Canis lupus familiaris: one gene and its partner. The protein of the gene in region 1 interacts with the protein of each later gene in a pairwise test. Links are inferred from orthologs where the notes say so. Each region holds a gene or a part of one and is shown on either strand. Other genes may lie near its edges.

Region 1 (3,646 bases):
GTCGAGAAGGAGGTTGGCATTCTCCTTGCCAACCGAGTGGAAGAAGAGGGAGAGGGAGAGAGACAGAAGGGATTCTTCAGTGTCTTCACAGCTATAACAAAGCAATGAAATTAAGGGACGTGTACAAGCAAGATGTCAAGACTACTCCATCTATCCAGACATTTCAGGTCCTGAGGCTTTGATGAATCAGACAGTGAAACTGAATTTTCCTTAATGGTGATGTTTGCAAAGAGAACGCCTGTCTATCAGACTGTGCAAATGGCACTAGATTTTCTTGGTCTACAGTTGCTTAATTTTTTCAGCAGGTCTCCTGGGCTGCACATCACACTTGCTGACGCAGCTTTGTTAGGCTGCTGCTTCCCAGGTCCCACCCCAGATCTGCTGAATCACAATCTGTGACAAGTCGGGCCCAGGCTTCCCCGGTGACTCTGATGCGCGCAAGGGCTGAAATGTCTCGTTTTCAGGGCAGGAGGCTTCTGAAACCTTCGTGTCTAAGTAGGATGAGTCTGTATACAGTTACAGAGGGGGACACTTCAGAGTCCCCAAGTTATTAAAAATCATAGCATTTAAAAAGATGTTTTCCTGACAACCACTTAGCTTTATTATATTGAATATAAAAAGTTGTTTTCCAAGCTGAATTTCAAGGACTACTACCGTGTTAAAATTAAATATACCTGAACAGATGAGGTCAACAGGTACAAGCCAGGACTGGGCTGAGCCAACTGGAATGAATGGCTCCCCTAGTTCTAAAGAAGCAGGAAATCTAAAATGTAAATGCTCTCCTTTGAACACTGCTCGGTGATGCAGAAGGAGATGTTCATTGGATTTGCCTCATGACCATATTTAAATTGCAGTGTTTATTAGATAAAGCCTTTTGGAGGCCCTGTTAATCAAAGTAATTTAAACATGGCATAATTTGCTGCCTGTCAGCGAGACCTCTTTGGGGCTTCTGTAGTTAGTGTTACACCCAGAGATGAGAGTTCTTGGCTCACAGCTCTCTACATCTGGTGAGAATGGCCTCCTCTGAAATAATTCTGTACTTAATCGTCTGGTTGGAGGTATTATTACGATGGGGAGAAGGGCAGGGCGAGTGAAGACAGAGGAATGGGGGAGAGTGGCCACAAGGCTTCCCTGATCATTAGGACCCGCAGGCCAAGTGGTAGCGATAGTAAAAATCCTCTAATTTGTCAGTTCCGATGGAAGTCACCATGGACAAATTAAAGGCAACAGGGATTGGGTGGTTGTTGTTTTTTTTTTCTTTTGAGCCAGAGGAGTAGCTGGAAACAATGGTACAAAATTGATAACTCATTATTCTTTAACATGCCTCGGCGCCAGGCACGCCTGTGGCATGCTGATTGGCACAAAATCAGGGTCCCTTCCCCGCCCAGAGAGACGAACACATCTGTTCCAAGTACAGAAATCCATCCACCCCTCATTTAGTGAGTGCAAGGCTGCAGTATGAAACAAGATGTTCCTCTCCAGAAACGGGGTGTCCTCTGCTCAGCTGCCCTGCCCAGGGCCTGGGTCCTGCTACCGCCTGCAGTCCCATGGACCTCGAGGGTGACTTGCTGATGACTTCCACCTAAAACAGACACCATCTTTCTTATCTTCTCCTGCAGTTCTTACTCGATCTTAAACACAGCATCTAACGCTCTCTCATTTGGTGATGGCATGTTGGAGAGGCGGCAGTATGAGGACCAGGTTCTGGGGGAGACGGCGCCCCTGACTATCATCTGCCAGCCCACGCAGGTAACACTGACCAGCGGGGTCACATCCTCAACTCTACTCAGGATTCACTGGGCACTTACTTGCTAAGCAGGAGGGCTTGCCCTGGCTGCCCCAAAGGGTCCCCGATCTCTTGGGGGAGAAAGGGGCACAAAATCATAAAAGATACATAGGAATTCAAGGCTAGGAAGAGCCATGTAGGTGGTCCTGGCAGCATCTACCACGTGTGGGTCTAGGCTGGTAGAGAAGGTGGCTCTGCAAAGAGGAGGATGTGTTATCTGTAAAGTCATAATGGTTCTATCTCAGAGGTCAGTGTGAGATTAAAAAAAAAAAAAAAAAAGGCCCTTTGCACAGTGCCTGGCACATGGTGAGTGCTCACGTATGTCTGAGGGCTCGATATATGCCAGGAGCATTACAGAAGGGAGGAGTGGGGGTGGGGATCGTTCTGAACAACCAAGACAAAGGAAAGTTAAGGATCAAGAGACTAGATCACGTTGGCTTGGAGCCCAGGGCTTGAATCAGAGGAGAATGGGAAAAGAAGCAGGAAAGATCATCCCTCTATCCCACATATTAACCCTGTCAGGGCAACTAACCGGCCACAAATGTAAAGTGCTGGCCACACTAGCGAGACTGGGAATAGCCAACTATCGGAAAGAAGGAACATAGAAACATCTATAAGGATCCACCCAGCAGTGATAGAATCCAAAGTCATTTGGACATGCCTTTGACTAGACAGGCCTATTTCATCACTCAGAGGGAGCAACTGTCCTCCTGAACCATTTCTGGGAACACCAACAACGCATGTAGTCAGACGACAGCGCCAAAAGTGAGATCAGGATACTCAAAGCTCGGGGAGACCATGGGGCCAGATGGTCTAACCACCATGTGTTAGAGGTGAGGCAGACCGTTTTGTGATAAAAGTCCTTGCTCCCTGAAGTTGTTGATGAAGTATCCCTTTAGGGGAGGACTAGATGGCTGGCTGTACATACTGGCTAGTTTTCCCTCTGGGCCATAACTCAAGTGGTCTTCACGTTTTAGTACTGGCCAAATGCTACTCCTTCTAACCACCACAGCAACAGCAAGGGTGAGACGGTCTTTGCAACCCTCTGGTTTTGCAAAACAGCTGCAATTCATCTCATTCGAGCCTCAGAATAACTTGTGAGGTCTGTAGGATGAGTCTTACTGCCCCCATTTTACAGACAGGCCAACCTAAATCCGAGGTAGTTATGGGATTTGCCCTTGTTCTACACTGGTAGAATTTGTTCTAGAGCTCAGCTCTGTTCATCTGGCACCTGGCTCCAGGACATGTTCACTTTCTTATGTGCTTCCCCCACTAATAGCCTTTCTTTCCCTGCAGCCTCTGAGGGTCAGTAGCCAGCCCGGCCCTCAAAAGAGATGCCTCTTTGTGTGTCGGCATGGTGAGAGGATGGATGTTGTGTTCGGGAAGTACTGGCTATCCCAGTGCTTTGATGCCAAAGGTGAGTGGTTAGTTGACCTGCTTAGCATTGGCATACCTATTATGGCCTCTGGGGGGCACAGTCCAGCTACATTTGTCTAGATGGAGTCCTTTATGGTCTCTGAGCTATAGGAAATGCCTATAATCTGCCACAATGTAAGTCCTTCCTAATGGTCTTGAATGTTACCTGAAGGGGAAAGTGTCCTTGTCCCCATTCTATTAACTGGGACACCGGGGACCAAAGAAGGCAAATGTCTTGCCCATGGTCATTTGGCAGAGGCCTAGACAGGTGTCCTGATTCTGTGGCCAGAATTTCCTCCATTAAGTCACCCTGGATAATTTTGGTTCCAATTTCATTTGAGTGGCATGTCTTAAGACTGGGAGGTTTTCATCTCTCAGAATCTTCCTGCTTTAGGATGTGTGGTTGTTACTTTCACCTAAAAACTATCTCTTATCACTTTTGTC
Region 2 (3,746 bases), on another chromosome or scaffold:
AGGCGTGGGGGAAGCCACAGCCTCGGACCCGTCCCCTCCGTCAGACTGTGAGGTTCCCCAGCCCGGCTTGGCGGGGAGAGGGCCCCCCAGGGTCCCAGGCCAGCGAGCGCGAGCGGATCGGATACCGTCCCCCGGCCCACCCCGGGTGACTGCGGATCTCTAAGCCCCGCCCCTACGGATTTGGGGAGGGGAGGGCCCAACAACCTATTCCCTCCCCCGGGCGCTGTCCGTGGGGGAGGGGCGTGAGGAGGCGCGGGGGGGGCCGGGGAGGAGGGAGGAGGCGCAGCGTCGCCATGGCAACCAGGCGGGTGGTCTGGGTCCCGCAGGCCCGGGGTGGGGGAAGCGAGGAGCCCGCAGGGGAGGGAGGCGCCGCGGGCTCGGTGCCGGGGCAGGGGCAGGGGCAGGGGCGGGGGCCCGGGGTCTCCGGGGAGTTGGGGAACACCGGGCAGTTCTCGCCGCTGCTTCTCGGTGGCGCAGGGAGCCCGTGTGTCCGCGAGTGTGTGCACGCGAAGTTCTCCGGGGTGGGTTAGTGCATGTGTGCGAGCGTGCGCACGTGGGCGCAGGCGTGTGCGCGGGAGTGCCCGTGTGTGTGTGCGTGTGTGTGTGCGCACTCGCGTGCGCCCCTAAGTGTGCCCGGCGGGCGCGGGCGGGAGAGTCCCGCCCCCTCCCCAGCCTCCGGCCGCCCCTCCCCGCCCCCCGCCGCCTGCGCCGGCTGCATCCTCGCCTCCACCTCGCTCACCCCCTCCTCCCCGCACTTTCTCCTGCTCACCCTCCCTCCCTCTCGGCTCTCACCGCCGGACTCCGCGCTCTTCTCGCTGGCCGCCCCGGGAATCGCCGGCCGCCACCGCCCAGCCTGTCCCCGCCGTCCCCCCAGTGCTTGGGCACCTGTTGGAGGCAGAGACACAGGTGCAGAGGGCTGGGCCGCCGGGGGCGTGAGGGTGAGGGCGAGCGTGCGTGTTAGCCTGTGTGCCCACGGGGTGTTTAGCTCCCTGGAGGCTGCAATTTCTGGCTCGTCTTGAATTGCCGGTCTCAGGAGGAGGCATCTGAGGCAGGGGTCCCCGCGTTGGGCTGCAGGGCGGGGGGGCCAGTCAGGCAGGCGGGCAGATCCCGCGGCTGCATGAAGGACAGTGGGCAGGGAAAGCGTAGAGGGGTGCGTGCCCCCTGGGCCAGACAAGCGCCTGGTGCAGAGGGATGGACAGTGCCTGTGGGGCTGCTTCCGAGGGAGGCAGGAGCCCAGGGGCGGAGGGCATCCCGGGATGAGGGCCAGGAGCCGGAAAGATGACACCGGGACCATCCAAAGGTATGTGGGCACGGCTGAGGTGGAGCTAGGACCTGCCTGGGGGAGTGGGCTGGCAGCCCGGCGGGGGTGAGGGGGGAGCAAAACAGGGGTCTGGGGGGCCCAGGCTTCCTGTCTGCCTGCGGGCTGGTACAGGCCACCTTCTCCCTTGACACCTGGGCAGGGAAGCCCGGGAGGGCCCCACCAGCTGGGGAGGTGGCCGCCTGGCCGTCTGCCAACAGCCGGCAGGTATGAAGAATCCACCTGGGGCTCACACTCTCTGGGACCTCCCTCTCATCCTTTTCGCAGCCAGGGGTGCTGCATGAGGGGCCGCAGGGGCGACCGCATGACCATCAACATCCAGGAGCACATGGCCATCAACGTGTGCCCCGGGCCCATCCGGCCCATCCGGCAGATCTCTGACTACTTCCCCCGCCGGGCACTGGGACCAGAAGGCGGGGGCAGAGATCTCAGGGAGGCCCCTGCTCGGCTGGCGCCCCTGGCCCTGGCCCCGCCTGCAGCCCTCCTTGGGGCCACCACACCCGAGGACGGAGCTGAGGTGGACAGTTACGACTCGGATGATACCAGTGAGTCTGGGGGCTTGGATGGAGGGCCCCGGGGGCTGAATGGGGGCTTTGGGGCCCGGGGCTCTGCGGGACGCGTGTTGGGGGAGGCGGGCACTGCCGCCTCAGCTGCAGTCGGGGCGGAGATTACAGTTTCAGAAAGGCTCAATATTCAATATTTCTGCTGAGACACTCAGCCACCCACACAGCCCCAGTTGCGGCCCAGCCAGGGACCCAGACACTCGCGCACAGGCTCGCAGGCTGACAGCCGCTGCCGACAGGCACACACCTTCACCCGCCAGCACCACAGGCTCCACAGCCCGCCTGCCCGGTGGTCTCTCACACGCCTGCCTTACACATCAACTCAGGACTCACGCTACCTCTTCCCTCTTTGCCAGCCGCCCTGGGCATGCTGGAGTTCGACCTTCTCTACGACCAGGCCTCCTGCACTCTGCACTGTAGTATTCTCAGGGCCAAGGTGGGCACTCCCTGCCTCCCCAGCTCTGGCCCTGTGTGCCTCCCACCCTGGGGGCGGGTTCCAGGTGTCCGGTTTGGACCTGTCCTCCTTCCCCCGACCCTTGTCCCCCAGCACCCCTCTTCTTGACTCTCCACACCCCAAGGATCCACTCTGCAGAGGGAGGGAGGGAGGCAGGCAGCAGGGCTGGGAGCTTGCAGCCCTCTTTCCTTCTGTCCTCTGCAGGGCCTCAAGCCCATGGATTTCAATGGCCTTGCTGACCCCTACGTCAAGCTGCACCTGCTGCCTGGAGCCTGCAAGGTAATAGCCTTTGACCCAGCTGGTGGGTCTGTCCCCACCCTTCCCCTGCCCTCAGGCTCTGTATGTCTGGGGGACATATATTGAGAATCTTCGTCCCCACACCTCAGGCCAATAAGCTAAAAACTAAGACTCAGAGGAACACACTGAATCCTGTCTGGAATGAGGACCTGACATACAGTGGGATCACGGATGATGATATCACCCACAAGGTGCTCAGGTGAGGGCTCCATTCTCCCTGTTCCTGAGGATTCCAGTCAGTACCTCCTCTGAGAGCTCTTTTTGGCACCTTCTTTGGTTGGTTGATCTGCTTCCCATTAAGCCCTTCTCAGATGCTCAAGAATAATCACTGGCTCCCCATCCCCTTTGGCAGGAAGCCAAAATGTTTCCCTGGCATTCCTGCCCCCCAAACATTTCCTCCTACTGCTGCTCCAGCAGAGGACGGACTTCTTCAGACTGACTTCTTCAGGCTGACCAGGTTCAATCAGCCTGACCTTTGCCTGTTATATTTCTTACACGGAAAGTGCCCCCCTCTCTTGGCCAGCCTAAATACCATTCATTCAATACTTGAGGCTGTGCCTCCTCTTGGAAGCTTTCCCTGGTCTCTGAGAGCCCTCCTCAGAGCCCCGACATGTCTGCCCCTTCTGTTGCCTGTGCCCCCCTAACATCCAGTGCTAAGGAGTGAAGGAAACGTGCTCCATCATCCCAGGAGGTGGAGCTGTGGGGGCTGTAGTCCCCGACTGGAGACCAGAGACTGGAGTGAAGGGGACCATAACCCAGGGCTTTATCTGTATTCTTGGCAATGGGGAAAGTGGGGGAGGGCTCGCATGGGGACAGGGGCATGGTCAGGGTTGTTTTGGAGGTCACCCTGCTGGTAGTGAGGCAGAAAGTCTGGCCCACCTTTCTGATGTGAGAGCATTAGGCCTGAGTAGCTGAGCACTCACGGGTGCCCAGCGCTGGGCTCTGCCTCTTTACATCTATTTCTCTTGATCCTGGCAGTTGATGGAGGTGGGTACTCCTATCTCCATTTTATGGATGGGAATTGAGGCATAGGGAGATGACTTGGCCAAGGTCACACAGGAAGCTAGTAGGTGCCAGAAGTGGAAGATAAATTCTCCCCTGTGACATAGCTTGA

What was found.
Region 2: the proteins of UBASH3B (region 1) and DOC2A interact in binary tests that used the Homo sapiens proteins (3 or more experiments, as listed by UniProt). The link is inferred for Canis lupus familiaris from reciprocal best matches to the Homo sapiens genes UBASH3B and DOC2A.

Annotation. Positions count from the first base shown.
Region 1 is NC_049226.1:11,544,659-11,548,304, reverse strand, and holds part of UBASH3B (ubiquitin-associated and SH3 domain-containing protein B), read left to right. Parts: intron 1-1,619; coding exon 1,620-1,749; intron 1,750-3,082; coding exon 3,083-3,203; intron 3,204-3,646. UniProt on the Homo sapiens protein: Interferes with CBL-mediated down-regulation and degradation of receptor-type tyrosine kinases. Promotes accumulation of activated target receptors, such as T-cell receptors and EGFR, on the cell surface.
Region 2 is NC_049227.1:18,208,074-18,211,819, reverse strand, and holds the start of DOC2A (double C2-like domain-containing protein alpha), read left to right. Parts: upstream 1-941; 5' UTR 942-1,256; coding exon 1,257-1,300; intron 1,301-1,585; coding exon 1,586-1,863; intron 1,864-2,237; coding exon 2,238-2,317; intron 2,318-2,539; coding exon 2,540-2,614; intron 2,615-2,721; coding exon 2,722-2,831; intron 2,832-3,746. UniProt on the Homo sapiens protein: Calcium sensor which most probably regulates fusion of vesicles with membranes. Binds calcium and phospholipids. May be involved in calcium dependent neurotransmitter release through the interaction with UNC13A.